Arabidopsis thaliana: one gene and its partner. The protein of the gene in region 2 interacts with the protein of the main gene of each other region in a pairwise test. Each region holds a gene or a part of one and is shown on either strand. Other genes may lie near its edges.

Region 1 (5,946 bases), on a different chromosome or scaffold from region 2:
GTTAGTTTAGAGATATTGTTTATATTAAATTTGGTAATTAAATCATTAATTTTTGTTTTTAATTATTAGTTTTTAGGTAACTTTTCCAAAAATTAATGTTATCCAAGATCAGAACAGAATTAAACATGTTATCCAAGATCCGAACAGAGTTAAACCGGGTTATACCCACCCATTTGAATTAATTGTTGAATTATGGCTCAAATCTTCAACATTATCTTCAAAAACGTCTACAAAAATGTATATATAGATAACTAATCTGATCTCTATCTACACTTCTTTTGAGTATTTTTCCGAGACAAATTAAACTATGACTAGACAAATTATCATTTGTAATCTTTCCACTAATGAGAATAGTTTGTAGTTCCATTCATTCTGTCCACAAATGCTATGGTAATCAAATCAAAGTTGAGAAGACAAAAATATTTTCTATTAGAGGTAATGTGATTGAGTAATTGTGATTGAAATACTGTTGAATATTTATCCAAACAAAACATCTAAGAGCTATGATTTTTTAAAGTTAAGCCAAAATCATATAACAAATTCGTTTCAATTCATTTATCTGAAACTGGACATTATAAGTTCTTGAAAATTATGTATAAAACCCACATATAAAAAGGGAAAAGAATTTAAAAAACAAACAAAAAAATAGTGAATATAAACGGTATTTTTTTCCTTGTTCTCTGTCTTGGTTTTGTGTGTGTCTAGCTGATCTGTTCTCCGATCAAATCCAACCCTACAACCAAGAAAGACAGTCCCTGAAACAACAAAAAGTAGAAGTGAAGACCGTGCGCCGATAGAAAGCTCCTTGCAGCTGCGGTTAGCAGCAAGAACGCAAGCCCGAGCTCTTTCTTGAACACCATGTTCGTCTTCTTCTTGTTCTTCGGCCTCATTAGCCCTCCAAGGCTCTTCTTCACGGTTTCTTGCCCTACAAGATTTGTCTCTTGCTCCTTAAGTTTGCTCAGAAGCTCCAAACCTGACTCCGAGTTTCTCCTATGCAACTTCTCTTCCTTTTCAGCAAACGCTAGCAAATCGGACTCCGATGATCTCCCGGTTTTCTTCGTCACAACCCACTCGTAAGCCGATCCAAACTGAAACAGCCCGGAGATCATGGCGTTGAACTTGGTTATTGACATTGTGTTTTCGAAAAGAAGGTAAGGGACTAAGAAAGGGAAAGATTTAGGTGACGGGAGAATGTTGAGAAGCGAAATGAAGATAGGAACATAGCAGATGATCCACAACGGAAGCTCGGCTTCGGGTATGAACATTGTCAATGGAAGTATAATGCAAAAGAGTGTGAATGAGTAAAATGGTAGAATAAGCTTCCTTAGAAGAAAGAAAAGGAAGATCAAATTCGCCTTCTTCCAAACCGATATCTACAAACACAAAAACAAACAATGAGTATATGTAATGATGTTTAACTACTATCACTAGTTGTAGAAATAAACTTTTACCTTTGATTTGATAATTGAAGGAAGGCATAACCGGAACAGCTGCATAGGACCGGAATGCCAACGATGTTGTTGCTTCTTGTAAGCTTCATAAGACTCTGGCAACTCGCAAGTGACTTCAACATCATTAAGGTAAATAAACTTCCAGCCGTTGAGATGCGCTCTAACCGCGATATCCATATCTTCCACGGTGGTTCTCTCGAGCCATCCGCCGGATTCTTCCAATGCCTTGATCCTCCATACTCCAGCGGTTCCATTGAATCCGAAGAAATTGAGAAACACACCGTTCACTTGTTGTTCTACTTCGAAGTGGAAACATAAGTTTATGTTTTGTAGCCTCGTGAGGAGATTCTCATCTTTGTTCACAAATGACCACCTTGCTTGGACCAACCCTAGCTCTGGATTACCCTGTGCAAACAAACAACACAACACTCGTAAGAATCTTGATATTCAAAAATGTTTGCATAAATGTAAACTTCCACATGAATATACTTTTACATTTTAACAAAATCTATTGACTAGTCTACTTAAAAATTCCGGTCTCAGTCATCTTGAGTTCGACTCCAACAACCCACATGAAAAATAAGATATGCTCTTTAGGTGGGGTACATAAAAATAAAATAATAGAATTTCGATTTTTCACAAAACAATAACTTATAAAACAATTATTATTATAATATGTAAATGTAAAAACAAAGGAATAATTGAAACCCGGAATCAAACAGAATCAAGATTAGCTTCAACTAGATTGAATTTGAAGACTTGTCATGTTAGAAAAATCAACCAAAGAAGTCATGAGTTTTGTAATTTCATATTTGTCGGTTACTTCGATTTCATACATAACAAATTACCAAATTGGATTTTCCTAACATAAAACCAAAAATACAAAAAACAATATAAAAATTTGTCGGTTACTTAGAACATGATCCACCGAAAAATAGATAAAACCAGCAAAGACAACTGTCGGTGATGAGTATAATCAAAAAAATATTTTCTATCAAAAAAGTGTAAAAAAGAAACAAATCTTTTTCCAGTGAATTTCTCTAAAACATTCATCGTAAATTACGAAACGTCAAGAAAGAAGTTTCCTTTTATAAGTTTGGGAATAAAGAGATTGTGTTCTTACCTTGAAATGAGGAACAGTCTTCTTGAGGAAATCAGGATTTGGTGTGAAATCTGCGTCGAAGATAGTCACAAACTCGTAATCTTTAACGTAATCACAAGTCATGGCTGATTTCAAATTGCCAGCTTTGTAACCAGTTCTGATCAACCTATGCCTGTAAATTATGTTTACGCCTTTTTCGGCCCAAACCGATACTTCTTCTTTGATCAAAAGCTGTAAATTTGGATCGTCTGAATCATCTAATACTTGAATTAAGATCCTATCTTTTGGCCAATCAAGTTGTGAAGCTGCTCCTATTGATTGTTCATACACCTAGAAGAAAACAAAACATAACAATTATACTATGTAAGAGAAAACAGAACATAAAACAGAATAAAAACAGAGTAAAAACAGAGCAACACAGAGTAAAACCAAAGTGAAAACAGAGTAAAAACAGAGTGTTTATAGTTTACCTCTCGTTCGTTGCACATTGGGATCTGAATAAGGACCATTGGGAAACTGGAGGGGTCTTCTAAATCGATAGATTCTTCGGTGAGCTTAGGTTCGATCTTTTTAAATTTGATCCAAAAGCAACCGAGACAGAGGACTAACCGATCAAGAGACTGAATCAAAAAGAGTACAGTGCAGAATCTGGAGAGACTGATGACAAGAGGAGCGATGTAATCGGATCGAAACGAGAGCCAAGCCATGTACGACCATTCGACAAGCCCGTAAACCTCCCAAGACGGTCGGTTAATGAGATCAAGATTCCATTTCTTGAAATGTGCAACGATTTCTATGGACAAGGCAATAATGGAGATGACAAGACAAGCTTTGATGAATCTGTACATTTGTTTTCCTCTGCTTTTAGGATCTTCTTCTTCGTTAATGTTCTTCGCGGAGAACGCGATTCGCTTTTTAACCGAAGAGACTAGCCACGAGAGACACGAGATGAGTCTATGAGCTTTGAGAAGAAGGAACCATGAGAATTGTTTTGGACTGATGGATTTACGTTTGTCGGGGAATGAGGATGGATCTGAGCCGTTGATCTCTAGTAAAGAGAAGTTGTCTGGCTTCTCCATTGTCACTGCTACTGAATTTGGAGCCATGAATGATAAAGAAACAGAGAAGGGTGAGAAGAATAAAGAAAAGGTATTTGTGTATTTTGGTACTATGAAATGTTTGTCATTATAAAGAAGTGTAGAAGAATCGTCACTGTTTCATTAAATTTTCCATAAAAACAGGATCGTTTGTTTATGTTACACAGACAAAACAGTGTTCTGATTAGATCAGAATGTGAGATACTTTGGGTTCAGCTGTGTAACTGAAACTTGTGATTGAGAGAGAGAAAGAAAGAGAGACGAGGATCATGTGCTGAAGTGAACCAACTAAGTAAATAAAGAGGAGAGGAGAAGAAGAAGAAGAAGAAGAGAGTTCTCCTTTCTTTGAATTTTCCTCTTTTGTTTTTGTAAAGGAAGATTTTATTTAATTATTTTCTTTGTTTGAAAAGTCCAATTTTTATTAGTGGGATCTATTTCCAGCGTGCATAACTAAAGAACAAATTATATTTATTTATGACAAAAAAAGAAAATTTGATTTCTTACTATATGATCAATTTACTATTTTATTTTAGATTCTATAACAAATGATTCAAATGATAACTAATTTGTAAATCCCGTGAATTTTATTTTAATATTTTTTTATCAATCAATCTTTATTTAGAGTTCAGAATCCCGTGAAAATTATTAAAGTAAACATACTCGGAAGTTATGGTTACGTGTTTTTTTTATTAATTTTCAGAAATTACTAATTTATGTAGTTAATTTAGAGGCATTTTTTTTGATATATTGTATAGACAATAAAAGTTTATCAAGTACTAATCTAGTATTTAAAGAAGGCTAATGAAGAAGGCTAACGCATATAATCAAAGATTAGTTGGGTTTTCTTTCATATCATTTTTTTATATTAGTTAACGTGAAAATTTTAATTTGATGTTAAATACATTTTATCTTATATGTTAGTAGTTTGGAATCATTTTTTTTTGCCAGTCTTCTAAGTAAATTAAAAAATAGTAACCGATTTTTTTGACCAAAATCAATCCTAATGGTTTTAGCCTTTTAGGTGGAACGATTTGGTTTAAAGTTACTTTGTTAAGCAAATCCGCGTCTAGTGATTTGATTAAGTAGGAGAGAGACTGCTGTTTATATTATTTTGGGGAAATTTACATCTTTATAATTATACCCATAAAATGAAAATACTTTACTTAAAAAAAGCTATTGGCTTATGGATCTTACGCGATATGTCCAGTCATAAAACTGCGTTTATACATGCATGTGTGTGTATTAAAGAAAAACAAAATGAATGAGAAGAAAAACACAAAGAAAAAAAAGAGATGATTCCAAGAAAAGGCCAAAAATCAATTTGTATGATTGGTAAGGAATTTGGAGGATGACAACTTGGTCCAGCGATGACCAGATTAAACTTATAAAAATGTAATTAGATCAACTTTACTAAATTATAATATTACTTTAACTCAAAGTAATGGACTATGTTGTCGCTTCACTGTCTTCCAACTTTTTTTATTTGATCTTGTTGATTCAAAGTGTTAAATGAATTATCCAGTTACTGTAACCCTTTGATTTGGATAATTTTTCATTTCCAAGATAAATTTTCACTTATTCACAAACATTTAGCTTGTGATTTATCATCGATGATCAACGGAGTACAAGAGATAATAGAGCATGTTAGAAGTCCCACCTCAACTCTATGGCAGATTAGACAAATGTCATGGGTTTATTGTTAATTTTAAAAAAATTCTTAATGATAAAAGGTTTAATATTATTTTACTAAAAGATTTTAGATTTTTGTTGATTTTGCTAGAAGCTCAACGATATACTGCATGTTATTGTTAGATGGGTTCGATTATGTCATGCTTGTGTCACAAGACGTTGCAAAGTAAATCAAATCAAATCTATTTCACTTATATATATAATCAAAAATATGGATCTCATTTTCACAATTATCATATTTTTTTATAGACATACTGATATATATATTGGTTCTCTCTGGTCAAAAAGTTTGTTGGATGCAGGATTAAATTAGAACAGTATTTTTGAAAAGAAATTACAACAGTAATATATTTGATAGATATCGACAGTGTAACAACATGTAAAATGTGAGTAAACTATAATCACGATATATGTTTTATGTTTTAACTATTAACCCAAAACTATATGAATACAAGCTGTGTAGTAAAATTCCATAACAAAAAGATTTAATATTTTCAAGTCTAAGAAAAAGACAATAACCGTAACCGGCGGTGAGAGAAGAAAATCACATGGGAAGTTTCTATTTTACGAACATAAAATATTATTATATTAAAATATATATTCTATA
Region 2 (4,414 bases):
TATGTAGTCTCTAAACTTGCCCCTTATTGTGACAAGTCTACATTAGACGTGTATTTGTACAAGTCAAATCCAATTCATCATCCCACAGTCACTTATCAAATTTCAAATTAGAGCTTCTTAAAGTATTCTTCTTAGTATAAAAATTTTAGACAAGTCACACCAATCTTTTATCATATTAATTTTTACCCGTAAGAATAAGATCTATGTTTACAAATACGAATTTCTTACTAAACTACTTGTCGTGATGAATTTTGATAGAGATAATCATCAGAGAAAACAAAGAGAACTAAATAAATGCGTATAAGATATGAATAATATACAGAAGAGGAAAGAAATACCGAATACGTAATGGATATAAAACCAAAGTTTCAATTCCAAGACGGATACGAACAAGTTCGAGTTTCTCTCAATGTCCCACTCACATGCCCCATTAGGTTTAATTTGTCTTTCTGTTTTTTTCTTTTTTCTTTTTATTGTAGCCTTTGTTTGATTGAAGTCGTACGAGGCTCAAACTTGGTTCGACACATGGCGCTAACTGAATTGCGAGACGATTGTTTTCTAAAAGTTACAAAACACAACTCAAGATTTCCTGAACCAGAAGTCTTCTCTTATGGATCTCTCTCACTGGTCACTGTTAATTACAGAGACAACGCATATAATAAAAACAAAGTCTTCTTTTTATTCTTTTGTCTTCAAGTTCTAAGCAGGAAACAACAAACATTTTAAAGAACAAAGCAGTGAAGAAAACACGCTTCCTGTTTTGATGAGCAGATCACTTAGATGGGTCTCTATGGCTCTCCTCCAAGCTCAACTCTCAGGTTGTCATATGGATACACTCTCGGTGTCTGCAACAACACAGTAAGAGATTAACATGATATGGAAAACAAGTTCCACAATGACACAAAAGCAGAGAGATGATATGCCACAGAACAAATTCTAAAGTAAAAGAGAGCAGCAATTCAACTCATGTATAAACAAGAAGATATAGAGCAACTTCTCAGCCTTGGAGTGCTGTTCAACCTCTATAACCCTAAGTTCTTCAAAACAAGACACATCATAATAGCCTTTGATACAAAGTCTATGATTCTTGGCCAACGGACACTAAGAGAAGTAACATTTGGAGTAAAAAGAAGAACAGCAATTCAACTCATGTATAGACAAGAAGACATAGATCAACTTCTTAGCCCCGGTGTGGTGTTCAACTTCTATAACTCGAAGTCCTTTAAAGAAAACTCATTATAGTATAGCCTTTGTACAAAGTTTATGATTCTTGGCCAGTCGACACTAAGAGAACCAACTCATCGATTTTAGCTGCTCATGCACCTCAAAGAGCCTTCATGTCTTTCTTACACCTCTAAGAGATGCCACAGAACAACTTCTAGAGTAAATGAACAGCACCAATGTCTAGACAAAAAGCCAGAGCACCTTTTTTAGGCCTAAGTCTTTTACTCGGAATCCTTCAAAACAAGACTCATCACAGTATAACCTATTAACCTTTGATACAGAGTTTTTCATTCTTGGCCAGTGGACACTAAGAAAACTAAAACATAGATTATAGCTGCTGGTACATACACCTCTAGCATACGCTTAAGCATTTACCGAGTTCCCAAGAACACTGTGGGTGTTTCTTTCAAGTGTTCCTAACTACAACGTACATGCTCAAATTAATTAAGACAGGATTATGGAAGCAATGCGGACATAAGATTCATCTAGTCCAGTAACTTTGGTCAGATGCAAAAGCAAACAGCAAGAATTGTTCATGTTCATAAACAGACAAAATGCAGAACTGAAAGCTAAATATTGCGGCAATTCAGCAAATAAAGAAAAGAACATTGACACATTCTCTGTTACGCGAGCATATTTTGTAGATTCCTATGTTTTCTGTCCACATTTAGTTAATGAGTTTCTGAAGATTCCAGCAAAAACCTATTCTCAGAAATAAGCCAATGCCAAACATATGTATCAAATTCAGAGTTGAACAACATACATAATAACAGCTGCATAGGGATGATAGATCTTAGCATAATCATGACTTCGATCATCACACTCAGGACAACAAAATGGGCTTGATTATAATTTCGAAAGTTGAAAGCTTTGAACTTACAAATGGAACCTTAGAAGCTTTGTCGTTCAAAACAGCGAGCAGACCGAGACCAACAAAGAACCCTAATCCGCCACTCAACCATGCCAATGCTTCATACTGTTCACATTAATCCAAAATCAATCAGAAAAGCAATCTCTTTTTACACCGAGAATCACCAGCAATTAGAAATCGTGTAACCAAACCTTTCCGACGGTATCAGCAATCCGATCTATGCAAGGCTCTGGAAACGCAGTCCCGTTGTCCCACATCAGCTCGTCGTTTACCGATAGCTGACCCGCACAATTTGTAAACATCAGATTTTCAGAAGAATCTAACAAGAAATTTACAACAGAAATTTGACTCACCGGCTTATCGGGGACGATGTGTTTGCCGACGGGGAGACCCATTCCGGCGCGTTGACGGAGAGAAGAACCGACGGATCGGGCAACGACGCCGTTTCCACCCATGATTCGTGACGCAACACCGCTCAATCTTCCAGCCATTTTCGCTCTTTTCAGGTTTCGATCCAAAATCCAATCAAATTACAGATAGAGAGAGAAGAAAGACGCAGTCACTGAAACGATTCCCTGAAACGCCATCGTTTTAAAAGAGGTCAATATTGTAATTTCGATTAACGAATTTTAAAACCAACGAAATGAGCAAACACATACACTTCAAGTGTGTCAAAAAGCTTCAGATTCTTACTATATACAAAGAGATTCATGTGGTGAATACACAAAGGTACAAAAACAGAAAAAGCTACAACCTTTAACATATCTATAAACTACTCAACAGTGAGGCGCAGTTCGTCCGAGTCGGGATAAACTGTCTTGTTGTTATTATCACATTCGCAAGAGTTAATCTTGTAGAATGCTCTCCATTCGTCGATGTTCTTCATCTGATCACATCTCAATTTAGGTAACCTTCTTCTCTCTAAGATCTCTAGAATCTTCTCTGTTCTTCCCAGATGCAGAGCTGCTCCTCTTACTGATTCTTCCCTTACTTCTACAGCTGACACCAAACACTTGACGGATATCACTTGTGCTACGTTGCAAAAGCAACCTGACACTATGTCTGATATTGTGCTTTCCAGCTTTCTCAACAGAGCTTCCCCTGTTCCATAGTCTCTTGATTCGTAAGTTAGTAGAATTGTTTGACAGATTCGGTACATGGAGTTGGCTGCTAGAGTCTTGATGGGCCAGTGAGAGGGCTTGTGCTTCATGCATACCATCAGGTTCATCTGCCATGACTCTGAGAACTCTTTCTTCGCGATTTCCATCAGCTCCCGAAGGGTTTCTTCTGGATTTCTTTGTTGCTTTGATAGTTTCCGAAGATCCACATCAAACCACTTGTGATAGAGATCAACACCTAGCCAAACGACCTCAGCAGCTTTCCTGAGGTTAACTGACTCTCCTCCGGTATCCAGGACGCATTCAAACTTGTTGACATATTCCAGTGCCTCGTTGACAGCATTGAGTAACTTCTTCAGGGAGGAGGGCTTGATGTCGGGAAGTGCAACAGCAATACTTGTGAGTGTTACAAGCGGGAGAGCCCAACAATTGGGCGGTTCTCCGTGGGCCAGAGAAGCCACCTTGTTGCTGTCGAACTCTGCAATCCCTTCAAATCCTTTTGAAATGGGTGTTGTTGCTTCCAAAAGCTCTATCAGATTCACTGGTTGTTTCTTTCTGCCCTTCTCTATCCAATGATCTGTCGCTTCCCGGTTGCTCCGCACCATCACATCCACCAGCGGGTCCTCTCCTTCAAGGTGCAGGACAAAACTCGCTAGGTCCTGTCTCGAGCTTGGATTTGAATCGGATTTTTCTGACTCACTGTGTGTGATAGTATTACTGGTCCTTAAGGCGAAATGACAGCACAACAAGATCTTACCCACACAGGATACCGAGATGTAACGGATAATTTTGCTACCAAACACAATCACATACTGTATCACAATACATACATCCAATATCCAGCGTTTTGCATTGTGTGCAGTCTTCCTGTATCTGCGTTCTTTGAGGATCCAAAGGCTTAAGGGATGTTGCTTCTTCTCTGAGAACCAATGTGTCCAGTAACTCTCTATTCTAAACTCATCTCTATAATACTTCTTTCCTCTAATCGGACACCTGAAGTTCACAGCCGTGAACCATCTGATCGCAGGAGCAATGGTCCCTATAGCTACAGTAGTAGTCTGGCAAACAAGAACCAGAGAAGTTGACCATTTGTAATCAGAATCTCCATGGCAGAACCCAAGTGACCTTGGTCTTAAAAAGTAACTCCTAACCATAGCTTCACCAAGCGTAATGGCACTCAGGAGACAGAAGAAACCAGAAG

Evidence for each region. Proteins that work in one complex are often made in the same cells at the same time.
Region 1: the proteins of AT5G47570 (region 2) and CSLC04 interact in a protein complementation assay, tested with the Arabidopsis thaliana proteins (one large-scale study listed by BioGRID).

Annotation. Positions count from the first base shown.
Region 1 is NC_003074.8:10,503,823-10,509,768, reverse strand, and holds CSLC04 (Cellulose-synthase-like C4), read right to left. Parts: upstream 4,059-5,946; 5' UTR 3,660-4,058; coding exon 3,024-3,659; intron 2,884-3,023; coding exon 2,575-2,883; intron 1,857-2,574; coding exon 1,452-1,856; intron 1,374-1,451; coding exon 702-1,373; 3' UTR 504-701; downstream 1-503. UniProt on the Arabidopsis thaliana protein: Beta-1,4-glucan synthase rather involved in the synthesis of the xyloglucan backbone than cellulose. Seems to work simultaneously with xyloglucan 6-xylosyltransferase.
Region 2 is NC_003076.8:19,292,081-19,296,494, forward strand, and holds AT5G47570 (NADH dehydrogenase ubiquinone 1 beta subcomplex subunit), read right to left. Parts: upstream 2,721-4,414; 5' UTR 2,587-2,720; coding exon 2,449-2,586; intron 2,374-2,448; coding exon 2,287-2,373; intron 2,201-2,286; coding exon 2,105-2,200; intron 846-2,104; coding exon 789-845; 3' UTR 507-788; downstream 1-506. Other genes in the region: ASG7 (uncharacterized protein), read right to left, coding at 2,868-4,414. UniProt on the Arabidopsis thaliana protein: Accessory subunit of the mitochondrial membrane respiratory chain NADH dehydrogenase (Complex I), that is believed not to be involved in catalysis. Complex I functions in the transfer of electrons from NADH to the respiratory chain.